Linked DNA regions of Arabidopsis thaliana. The protein of the gene in region 2 interacts with the protein of the main gene of each other region in a pairwise test. Each region holds a gene or a part of one and is shown on either strand. Other genes may lie near its edges.

Region 1 (5,153 bases), on a different chromosome or scaffold from region 2:
AATCCTTCCTTTGCACCAAGGCCTCACTTCATCACGCGTATGTCCATGGCAGATGTTATAGTATCCGTATGCTTGAAATGCGACAAAAGGAAGACAAATGCATATGCATCTAAGAAATCCAGCAATAAAAACCTGCATAGCTAACTGGGTAGCGAGAAGAATCATTAGGCTACCATACCTTTAAAGAGTTGACAGCAAGTTAAAGAGACAGGCTTTAATCATTACATGATTAACCAAGCAGATGTGATTTGAGACATACTAAATCAAGAAACTATTCCAGTGCAACCATGAACTAAAGAGCATACCAGCAGAACAGTTAAGTAGGAATCCATCAGATAGAGATATAAAGAACAAAGTAACTAAAAATTGTTCGAGTTCTCCTTTTCTATCTTCTAGAAGGATCTTAATTGTAGGAAATAGAATGTTTCAGATTAAGCATACTACCGAAAAAATCCGGAGTTTGAATTGCAGCAATAGTTCTGAAATTTGAATGAAATATGTATAACTTACATAAGCACGCCGTTTCTGATATAAAGCTTCATATGCTCGATGCATTGTCTGGAAACAGATATAACCAGCATTAAGAATTCCATTGGACCTTGCACAGCCTGAGAGAGCAAACCAAAGAACGCCTACATTGCTGGTACCAGATAACAAGTGATACACTCCTCCAATAGAGAAAAGAGCATACAAACTTTCTGAATATCTGAAAGTCACAAAGAAACAGTTTGGTCTTCAGTTAGTTACCATTCTGATAAGACTGAACATATTTACTTTCAGCAAATGAACTTAAGAGATCATTGGCTTAAACACATTACATTGACGAATAAAATATGGACGCCGGATTGAAACAGAAGATAATCGAAGCTCTGAATGATGCTTCAGTATCCTTCAAGATAATAACTGAAACCCTGTTAGCAACGACTGGTGTAAGACACGGTGAATAGCAAACAGCATTAGCTTGTAGAGCTCAAAAGACTCTTGACTTGACTTATTTCTAGACACAATAATCGATTTAGGATGAATGTCAAAGAAGTACCTAAATAGATAGATAGCAGCAAATATGAACGCCAAGTTACTAACAGTGAAACCAGACAACACCATCACAGCTCGAAGACCAATCAATGGAACCAAAGGCGCAAAAACTGAATCCAAAAAGAATCAGTTACTACCGGAATGATACAACCAAAGTAAGGAATCAAGTGGGTAGATGTCTAAATTACAAAACCTGTGCGAGAGAGAAGCGAGATGAAGAAAGGAAGCAGAGGCAAGAAGGCGTAAGTCTGCTCATACTCATAGCCACACTCTGTGATTCGGAGAAAATAAACACTGTCCCAGACAACACTGTTCTCAAGGGATCTCGAAGCTGCATTGGCTACTAGAAACGGAAAAGAATCTTCTTTGTGATACAAGCAAGGAGGATTCAGTGCAGCGGATGTATCGTACGGTTGGAGTAAGCTCCGCCACAAAATGGTTAAGAAGAGAACGAGAAGTCGCGAGAAGATGGCGTATTTGATCAAGATGGTTTCTTTCCTTGATTTCGAGTTTGATTCCAAAGCTTTCGCCATTGATCACGAGCTCGTATTCGAGTATAAAAAGGCGACAGATGGTTCTCGATTGCAAGAGTCCGGTGACGATTTGTGATTTTCGATCTTCTCGTCGGAGAAGAATGTGTTACTCTCTAAATGTAAAAGAGAGTTTCAATTTAATAAATGAACCGGTCGGTTCAATAAAAGGGAAAGTCACCGGTTTTAGAAAATTGTTCCGGTATTATCCGGGTCATTAAGACGCTTTGATCGGTTCAATCCAGTTTTAAAAACGCTAAGATGAATGTAGCGTTTGTGAAGCTAATTAAACGAGCCACGTCATCAAGACATGTCAACAAAACGCGTCATAAGCCCAATCACGTGAGGGCTGGTAATTGGTAATCGCAAAACGTAGATCGCCATAAATTAAATTTCGAACAGACAAAAAAAGAAAAGAAAATCAATAAATAATCATTTAGTCCCTTTGTTTGATAAACCCTTTAATTGAAAAAAAAAACAAATTACTTCTCTTTCCTTCGATCATCGTCTTCCTCTGGTTCTCAGATCTTTGAATCGAGCAGAAGCAATTTTAAATCTCCTATCAGGTTTCTCTAAATCCATGCTCAAGTCTAATTTTACGTTTTACATTTGTTCAATTTTGTATGAGATTTGCTTCCGTTTGGGATCGGAACTTTGAGAACGTTCTGAAGATATTACTTTACTGTGTAGCTCTTGAATCAATTTTTCCGTTTGATGTCTTGTATTGATGTTGTTATTAGATCGTTAATTTTCTTTCCGTAGATGATGAATGTGGATTATGCTGAAATTCGTTATAAACTTTGGATTTGATGGTGGTGAATTGTCACAATGTAGAAAACGAAAGCTTTTGATTATAGAATTTTCTTTGAGGTTGATGTTCTCTGCTATATTTGAATCTCACGTTTGAATAGTTCGTCTTGTTCAATATCTGAATGCAAATAGAGATAAGCTATTTCGAACACTCATTGTTGAAAAATCAAAATAATTCATCTTCTTAGAGTATTGTGTGTTCTTACAGAACCCAAGTTTTAAGCATCTGTGTTTCAATTACCTGGCTTACATGTTCTGTCTTGATGATAAATATTGGTTTTGTGATTTTAGTGAGTTGCAGGATTCATATTCTTGTTTTGAAATTTGTGATAATTGCAGTGAATTTTTATTACTGGAGAAGTAATAAGGCAAAGATGGTGAAAATGACATTGATAGCTCGTGTTACTGATGGGTTACCTCTAGCTGAGGGGCTCGATGATGGACGTGACTTACCGGATTCAGATATGTATAAACAACAGGTCAAAGCTTTGTTTAAGAATCTGTCCAGAGGTCAAAATGACGCTTCAAGAATGTCCGTTGAAACTGGCCCCTATGTTTTCCAGTATCCTTAACCTCTGGTTTTTTCTTCATTCCTTATTAGTTCAGTTTCTGCTGCAAAAGTTTGTTGATTGATAGATATAATAAGGATTGTAGAAAGTTTACTTTGATTTACTTAAGATTCACACTTTTGACATCCTTGTACATTTTTACCAGTTTTTGGCTTAGTACACGTTTCAATCCTCTTGCATTATGTTTGAAATCTACGTTGTCATATTAGTATGCTTGTATCTCAAAGCTAAAGTTTAAGAAAGACCAGATATGTATGCTTCCTTGACCAGAAAACTTTAGTTACATCATAGAAGGACGTGTTTGCTACTTGACAATGTGTGACCGCTCTTACCCAAAGAAACTCGCTTTCCAATACCTGGAAGATCTCAAGAATGAATTTGAACGTGTCAATGGGCCTAACATTGAAACAGCTGCTCGGCCTTATGCCTTTATTAAATTTGGTATGTGTAGTGTAGATTTTTCTGTACATTCAGTATCTTGGAAACATACCTCTCTGGATTCACTCTTTTTCCACTTTGCCTTTTTTTGTAGATACATTCATACAGAAAACCAAGAAACTGTACCAAGACACTCGTACGCAACGAAACATCGCCAAGTTGAATGATGAACTCTATGAGGTTCATCAAATAATGACCCGGAATGTGCAAGAAGTCTTAGGTGTTGGTGAAAAGCTGGACCGTAAGTCAACATCCATTACTTCTCCTATGATCATTATTTAAGCTTTTAGAATAAGGAGAAATGGAACACTAGTTTTGCGTTTGTTATAATCAGCTGAGCAATATGCTTATCATTTGCCATTTTCTCTTCTTGTTTTTTCTTAATGCAGAGGTGAGCGAGATGTCGAGCCGGTTAACATCTGAATCTCGTATATATGCTGATAAGGCTAAAGATTTGAACCGTCAGGTGAGTTTGATTGTATATTACCTTATATTACACATTGCAACATTGATCACACGGCTATGAGATGCTCTCATTCCTTGTGAGCTTGACATATTGTAGCTTAGATAGTTAACATATGGTTATGAAACATTGAATTTGGTTGACCAGGCTTTGATCCGAAAATGGGCACCAGTCGCAATTGTGTTCGGTGTAGTCTTCCTCCTTTTCTGGGTCAAGAACAAGCTATGGTAAAAAAAAAAGGAGGAATCTAAGGCTATTTTCGTAATTTAGCGGACTTCTCCAGACATATGTCGACCTCCCCTACCGGACTCAAGTCTCAGATTCCGGCACCCAAAATATCTTCTTTCTTTCAAAGAGAAACTTTGACACATTTTGTACTTCTGTAGTATGCAAACTTTATGAGACTGGTCATAGTATCATCCATTATACTCTTTTCAAACCTTCATTGTCATTTTCTCAGGCTTCTTTTAAATTGAATTAGAACCACAATTAAAGTAAAACGGATTGGGTTTGATTTCATACATATATCTAACAAAATCTGAAGAGTTTACACAGGCTATTTTAGCGTCTATGTGACCTCAAATGTCTCTTAAAATCTTGTGGACCAGCCAAATCTAATGAGGAAGTGTTCTTCAACTCATCTGAAAGCTGCAATGCACTCTGAAAATCTCCTGACTTCTTCAGACAATCGATTAAAGCTCGGTAGACATAAACCGATGGTCGAATCTGTCTCTGCTTCATCTCATCGAAAAGCCTCAACGATTCCTTAACGTTCCCAGATCGACCCAAACTGTCTATCACCGCTGTATAACTTAGCAAATCTGGTTCAATTCCACATTGAACCATTTCATTGTATATCACCAAACACATATCGAATCTACAAGCTTTCCTCATCCCGTTTAACACCGTGTTGTAAGTAATGATGTTTACAGATACACTACAATCTTCCTTCATCGTTGACAAAACCCCCAGAATCTCATTCACAAGGCCAGCTCGTCCCAAGATATCCAAAACCGAGTTATATGTGATCACATCTGGTTTACATTCCCACTCTTTCATCTCCTTAAGTATCATAAGAACCTTATCGATCTGTCTAGTTTCAGCAAATGCAAAGATGATTCTGTTCATTACTATTAACCTATACGGAAGTGAAGACTCTGATATCTCTTTAAGCAGACTCGTCAAATACGTGCAATCATCCGTGTTAATGAATGCTCTAGCAAGGTTGAGATAACAATCTGAACTCAATGGTTCCTTACCCGGCAAGATCAAGACCTCTCTGAAGACTCTACAAGAAAGCTTCATATC
Region 2 (5,445 bases):
CTTGCATCATAAAGATTACGATTAAATTTCTTTGAAAATTAGGTGATCTTCTTCTAATGTGCTAGAAACTTGACCGTACAAGAATTTAATTTCAACTACTCTACTACTAGAATCATTAATTATGGAATAAAAATATCAGAAAAGGGGTTCTTAGTAATCATAAATTTACACTGTTTTAAATTCTAACTCCAAAATGCTGCATCATATGTTTCAAATTCAAAAGAATTAAGCAAATTATGTCAACAAATTGACAAAAAAAAGTTTAAGTTACTATGAAGTTAAAATCACTATTTGACACATAATTTACCCTCTTCTTTTGCTAATACAATGAATACATTTCCGTCAATTTTTCAATATCCATCGTTATCCTTGTACTATCATAATAGGAGAAGAAAACCAAATATAATACAACTTCCTCGCTTGAATAAAAGTTTGAGAGAATTTCAGAATTCGAGAAAAATATGAGTTTTATCCACCCACATGTTAGTCCATATTCCCATGTCATAGATAATCATATTGTAATATTCGAATATTAATATCCATACTAAAAGATTCACATCACCATGAAAAGTTGAACCCATTCAAGATCATAAAAGGAAAAAGAATGCTCATTGCATTGTCTACACACAAACATGACGCAACCTAAAAACCCAATTAGGATCGTTACAACAAATCGTGGTCTCATCCACAAAAAAAAAAGCTAAAACACTGAACAAGTCATAAAAGAAGAAAGCAACTTTACCTACAAAGGCTCTCTCTCTTTCTACAAAAGAGTTCCTTTTCTCTCTAAACGTTATGAAACTTAAACCGGCTTGGTTCAGAAATCAGAACCAACGCATCCATTTCCGTGGCTGGTTTTTGCTAGAAGATCCTTTTCTTGGTGTTACATTGATCCTATCCGCATTAACTGCTGCCCATTTGCCAAAATCGGGTGAAGAAACCAATTCTTGAACAGCCTTTGTCGTGCTATCCTTAGTGAGCTTTTTCCATTCTTCTTTTGTTAGTTGGCTCCTTTCAGGAGTTTTATGGAAAGAGGAAGGAAATGTATCTGATTCAGACGGTGGAGATTCTCGCATCCCGTTGTTGATTCCTGTAAAGAATCATTACACAAGCTTATTATTTGTTTCAACTTGTTTAATTTGTAATTTGAGATAGAGATAACAAATCAAACCTCCTGATGGAGAAGCAGAAGTTACACGGTTGCGAAATCCAGAAGCATCAGGACTCTTTTGCATAAAGTCATGGAGATATCCCGGGACGGATGGTATATCAGTATCACGAATTGCCTCCCAGATTCCTAGCAGTAAATTCAATGGAATCCTGTCCAAAAGAAACCAACTTACATTCAAAACTGTACACTTTCAGGGATATGGATGCTGTATAATCAAACATAGTTTGGTTTGTTGAAGGAAAAAGATCAAAGAGATTGGTCACAACTCACTCGAATAAGCGTAGAAGGAACTTCAATCTGGTGATCTTCTTTAAAGTCGATGACATAAGAATTACAGATATCAGGGCTCCTCCAGCAAGTAAAGGATCTACAGAGCTCTGTAAACAACAAATTCTTGTTAAAAGGATCAACTGGTTAAAAGGATAAGTATAGATTGAGGGACACTGAAAGAAACCTGAAGGATCAAAACAGCAGCCATAATTCGGATGGACCAAGAAACAAATAGTGATGTGCTAACATCAATGGAGCCATCTTCCGTCAGAATAAGTTTCCTCACAGTCCAAAATCCAAAAAATGCTCCACCCAAAGACAGAAACGCCCCCACAAAAATCGCCGCCTTGCAAAACCAAAATGCAGATTAAATCTTTAAAATGGGCTTTTTAACCAGCAAATGCTGACTGATGCATGAAACACGCTAAAATTACAGCAGCTGCAATGTATTGACATTATCAAAACTTACATACAGGTGTGTACATTTCTTCGTCGATTCCCATCTCTGTTAGCAGACTTTCAAACAATCCGGGTAAGTAGCGAAGAAGAAAACCACCCAAACCAAGCTGGAAAGAAGGAAATAATCTTGTGAGTGGTAGATAAAACAAGGAGGTCAGAGAAAACAGGGGAGCAAGAGAAAAGACGAATTATTCAACAATCACCAGGGTTGAGTATATGAACAATGCAAACGAACTCCGTCCAGTAGGTAGAAGCTTCATTCCCTGAACACATCACATAACAAAGGCGAAATCAGAGGGTTAATACACTCTCTTCTACAGGTCAACACGATAAACAAAATGAGGTTACCTGAAAGAGAACAAGCAGCACGACAAGGATAATACCAACAGCCATTGCACTACTGTAGTAAAACGCTAAAGATTGGCTCAGTGTAGAAGCCGAAGCCAGTAATACAGCACCAAGGAGTAAGAATACTATGCGATGCATAAATAATTCTGCAAAGAGAAAATAGATAGCTTAGAAAAGAGAAAAGAAAATGCAATAAAAGGAAACAGAAAAGGCACCTTCTACAGCAGACACTTCCAATGAGACCTTGTTAGAGCTAGGTACTCTAACATCAAGGATTTTATGGTCGAAGGGTGACATTGTCTGAACCCATGAACCTTTAGAGGCTTTCTCCCATCGACTATGAGGGCACATTCCAATTCCACGCGACAAATTCCTTCAAACATACAACATTTAGTGATATCTATTATGTACCAACGAACTTACAGGAATATCAAGAATTTAAGTCCAACAGCAAAAGATAAACGAAGGACTCACCGGTGAAAGCAAACGTCAATGTTATTTGTTTTCCCAGAGATTGACGCGTTAACTATCAACTTGAGCGAATGTGCATACTTGTCTAGATGTTTAAACCTTCCAAGTCCATGGATATGAATCCTCTCACAAAGAGAGGTTCTATCTGGCTTCAATCCAGGAGAACCTTTTACCTCTAAACTAGGAGTCACTTGAAGCTCTCCGCTTTCTCCCACAACTGTCCCATAAGGCCACAAGAAATTAACCACAACACCTTCAAGCGGAGAAATCCCCAAGCGGGTCATAGAAGAAAAGTAGAATTCTGGCACTCAAATTCGAGTACTCAAGAGCTCAAAATTACTTAAGCGATATAAACCCTAAATTTCAACCAACAAAATTAGAAAAGCTTACCAAACTGAAGTTCATCGGATGAAACAAGAGAGGCGAAAGTAAAGAGATGTAGCAAGATTATTCCGATAACGACGCCGGAGTTTCGTAGAAGACGATAATCACCCATCGATTTCTTCCTTGTGGGTTTCAGGAATAAAAAAAGTTTCAGGGCGCGGAAAGCAAATTAGAATAAATCCTGAGGGTATTTATGGTAAATTCAAAGAATATAAAAAACCGTGTATTGTCGGCCTTGTAAATGGGCCTAATGTGGCCCAATGACAGAGTTTAACATTTTCTTTTATAATAATTCTAAAAACTCAAGTGTGATATTGGCTTTCTCTTTAAACCTTCAGCTTTCCGAGACGAATTCTGTCAGACTGTCACCCAGTTCTGAATTATTTCTTAGTGAAGAAAAAATAATTTTACGTCCAATGCGTGATGCTTAGAAAATATGGTTGCTTGGATGATTAATGGTGGACTATTGAAGAGACTGAAAATGATTGAGCCGTTAATTACGTTACGTCGACTTAACTGAACAAAATGGAATGATGCATTAGTGATTAATTGAATTATTGACTGCGTAACTATGATTGACAAAAAAGGCCGACCAAATGATCTGCCAACCATATTTTAAAAGCATACTACATTTACATTTCTTACAAATTAAAATGTAAAACTATAGTTTATCCAGTTATTACCATTGCCTTAAAACTCGCTCAAGTTAGTTGACTCTTGACTGGTTGTTTAATTCTAACATCCTCACATGAAACGTTATGATTGGATAATACGGTATGACGTAAAAATCCAATTAGGTCCAACACAAACAACGATATCCAAACGTATACGAACTGTCGGTTTACACTTTTCATTATTACATACATTGTTTAAGGAAAGAAATGATTTGTGGAATCTTGAATCTGCAAACAAAAAAAATCCGGTTATACAATCAGTAGGTCCGGTACATACATGAGACAACATTTAAGCAGGAAAAAACAGTGTTGGATTGAAACAAATATACAATTAGTTGGAAGTAATCATGTCACAAAACATGAAGTTTGAATGGGCCTAATTCTTTTTCTTTCTTTTTTCCACTTTAAATTTCCATTAAAGATGAGCCTAATTCAATTATCGGTTGATAAATAAATTATGCATACCTGAAAATTATACTTCAACCAACTATTTCGTTTTGCATTTGGATGCGAAAATTCGAAGAAATTCGTATTGTGGATGTGCCTTATATTTGTATCTAATAGGTTAAAAACGATTAGAGTTCTTGAAAACATTTGTCGAAGACTGAAATCTCATTAAAGCCACAGAAAACAGTAACATCGCTTTACATAAAACTTTCAATGTTGTCGGATGATAGTTGCTTTAAGAATATCTACGCTTTTGATCAAGAGCTCTCATGAGGATCCAAATTCCGGAATGCTGTGTAAAGCTGGCCTCCACCCACCACCACCTCTTCCTCCACCGTGGCTCCTCCTCATAAACCCATCTCCCCCGTTTTCTCCGGCGACCTATAAGATCGGTCGAATTAAATTAAGCATTCGTACATAAATGATAAAAGGATAAAGCGATCAGAGTAATGTGACCAGGACAGTCATCTATAAATATCTTATTCATCATGTCACAACTAGAACTAAAATTAAGGATCCATTTTAAATGTTAAAAAGAAAAAATTGGACGATGAGAGTATTAACATGCACTTACCGCATTATCAGCGCCATCTTGGTTCGGATTCGGATCCGAATTCGGGTTGACTTTGCCCGTTTCCTGATCCAGCTTCTTCTTCCTGTGTTTCGTCTTCTTCTTCGTCAAGTCAAGCCCTCCTCCTTCTTTCAATAACTTGCCAAGCTTCACACATTTCTTCGTCGCAAACTCGTTCAAAACCTCTGCATGATATAAAATTGTCAACAGCTTTATAGATCATTTTATTTATCAGAAACAGAGAAATGGAGTTAAGAGTGTATATATATATACCTTCGAAGCTGACGAGACGATAGACATGTCCGATGAGTAAAGTGTCGTCAGGACGAAGGAGTTTAAGCTGCTTCAGTGGCAAACCTTTCTCGTTCTTCATCGTAGGTGACGTCACCACCACCGCAACGTAATGACCAGGATTGGATTTCATGATGTCACTCGCTGTCACTGACCAGTAAATCCTCTCCACCTTGTTCTCCGCCGGGTGATGAATCAAAACCGTCGCTGCTTCGGCCGCTTGACAATTCCCCATTTTTATTTTTTTTGCAAAAAAAAAGAAAAGAGAAAAGAGTTTTGATTTTTTTGTTGGGTTCCTGTCTGAAACTAAAGTATATAAGAAGAGATTGTTTTGGTTTTAATAAATAGCGACGTCAGAA

What was found.
Region 1: the proteins of AT5G67610 (region 2) and SEC22 interact in a protein complementation assay, tested with the Arabidopsis thaliana proteins (one large-scale study listed by BioGRID).

The regions. Positions count from the first base shown.
Region 1 is NC_003070.9:4,008,760-4,013,912, forward strand, and holds SEC22 (Synaptobrevin family protein), read left to right. Parts: upstream 1-1,997; 5' UTR 1,998-2,131; intron 2,132-2,300; exon of another isoform or gene 2,301-2,714; 5' UTR 2,715-2,749; coding exon 2,750-2,937; intron 2,938-3,224; coding exon 3,225-3,385; intron 3,386-3,476; coding exon 3,477-3,623; intron 3,624-3,771; coding exon 3,772-3,848; intron 3,849-3,992; coding exon 3,993-4,076; 3' UTR 4,077-4,345; downstream 4,346-5,153. Other genes in the region: AT1G11880 (transferases, transferring hexosyl groups), read right to left, coding at 1-144, 511-706, 819-911, 1,040-1,145, 1,229-1,568; AT1G11900 (Tetratricopeptide repeat (TPR)-like superfamily protein), read right to left, coding at 4,407-5,153. UniProt on the Arabidopsis thaliana protein: V-SNARE involved in vesicle trafficking from the ER to the Golgi complex and required for early secretion. Involved in endoplasmic reticulum (ER) biogenesis and functions as well as for Golgi-stack integrity. Essential for gametophytes development.
Region 2 is NC_003076.8:26,960,400-26,965,844, forward strand, and holds AT5G67610 (transmembrane protein (DUF2215)), read right to left. Parts: upstream 3,240-5,445; 5' UTR 3,216-3,239; coding exon 3,110-3,215; intron 2,973-3,109; coding exon 2,723-2,972; intron 2,622-2,722; coding exon 2,464-2,621; intron 2,395-2,463; coding exon 2,249-2,394; intron 2,164-2,248; coding exon 2,104-2,163; intron 2,008-2,103; coding exon 1,915-2,007; intron 1,788-1,914; coding exon 1,626-1,787; intron 1,549-1,625; coding exon 1,442-1,548; intron 1,321-1,441; coding exon 1,172-1,320; intron 1,091-1,171; coding exon 825-1,090; 3' UTR 532-824; downstream 1-531. Other genes in the region: AT5G67620 (DUF4228 domain protein), read right to left, coding at 4,492-4,605, 4,799-4,980, 5,069-5,321.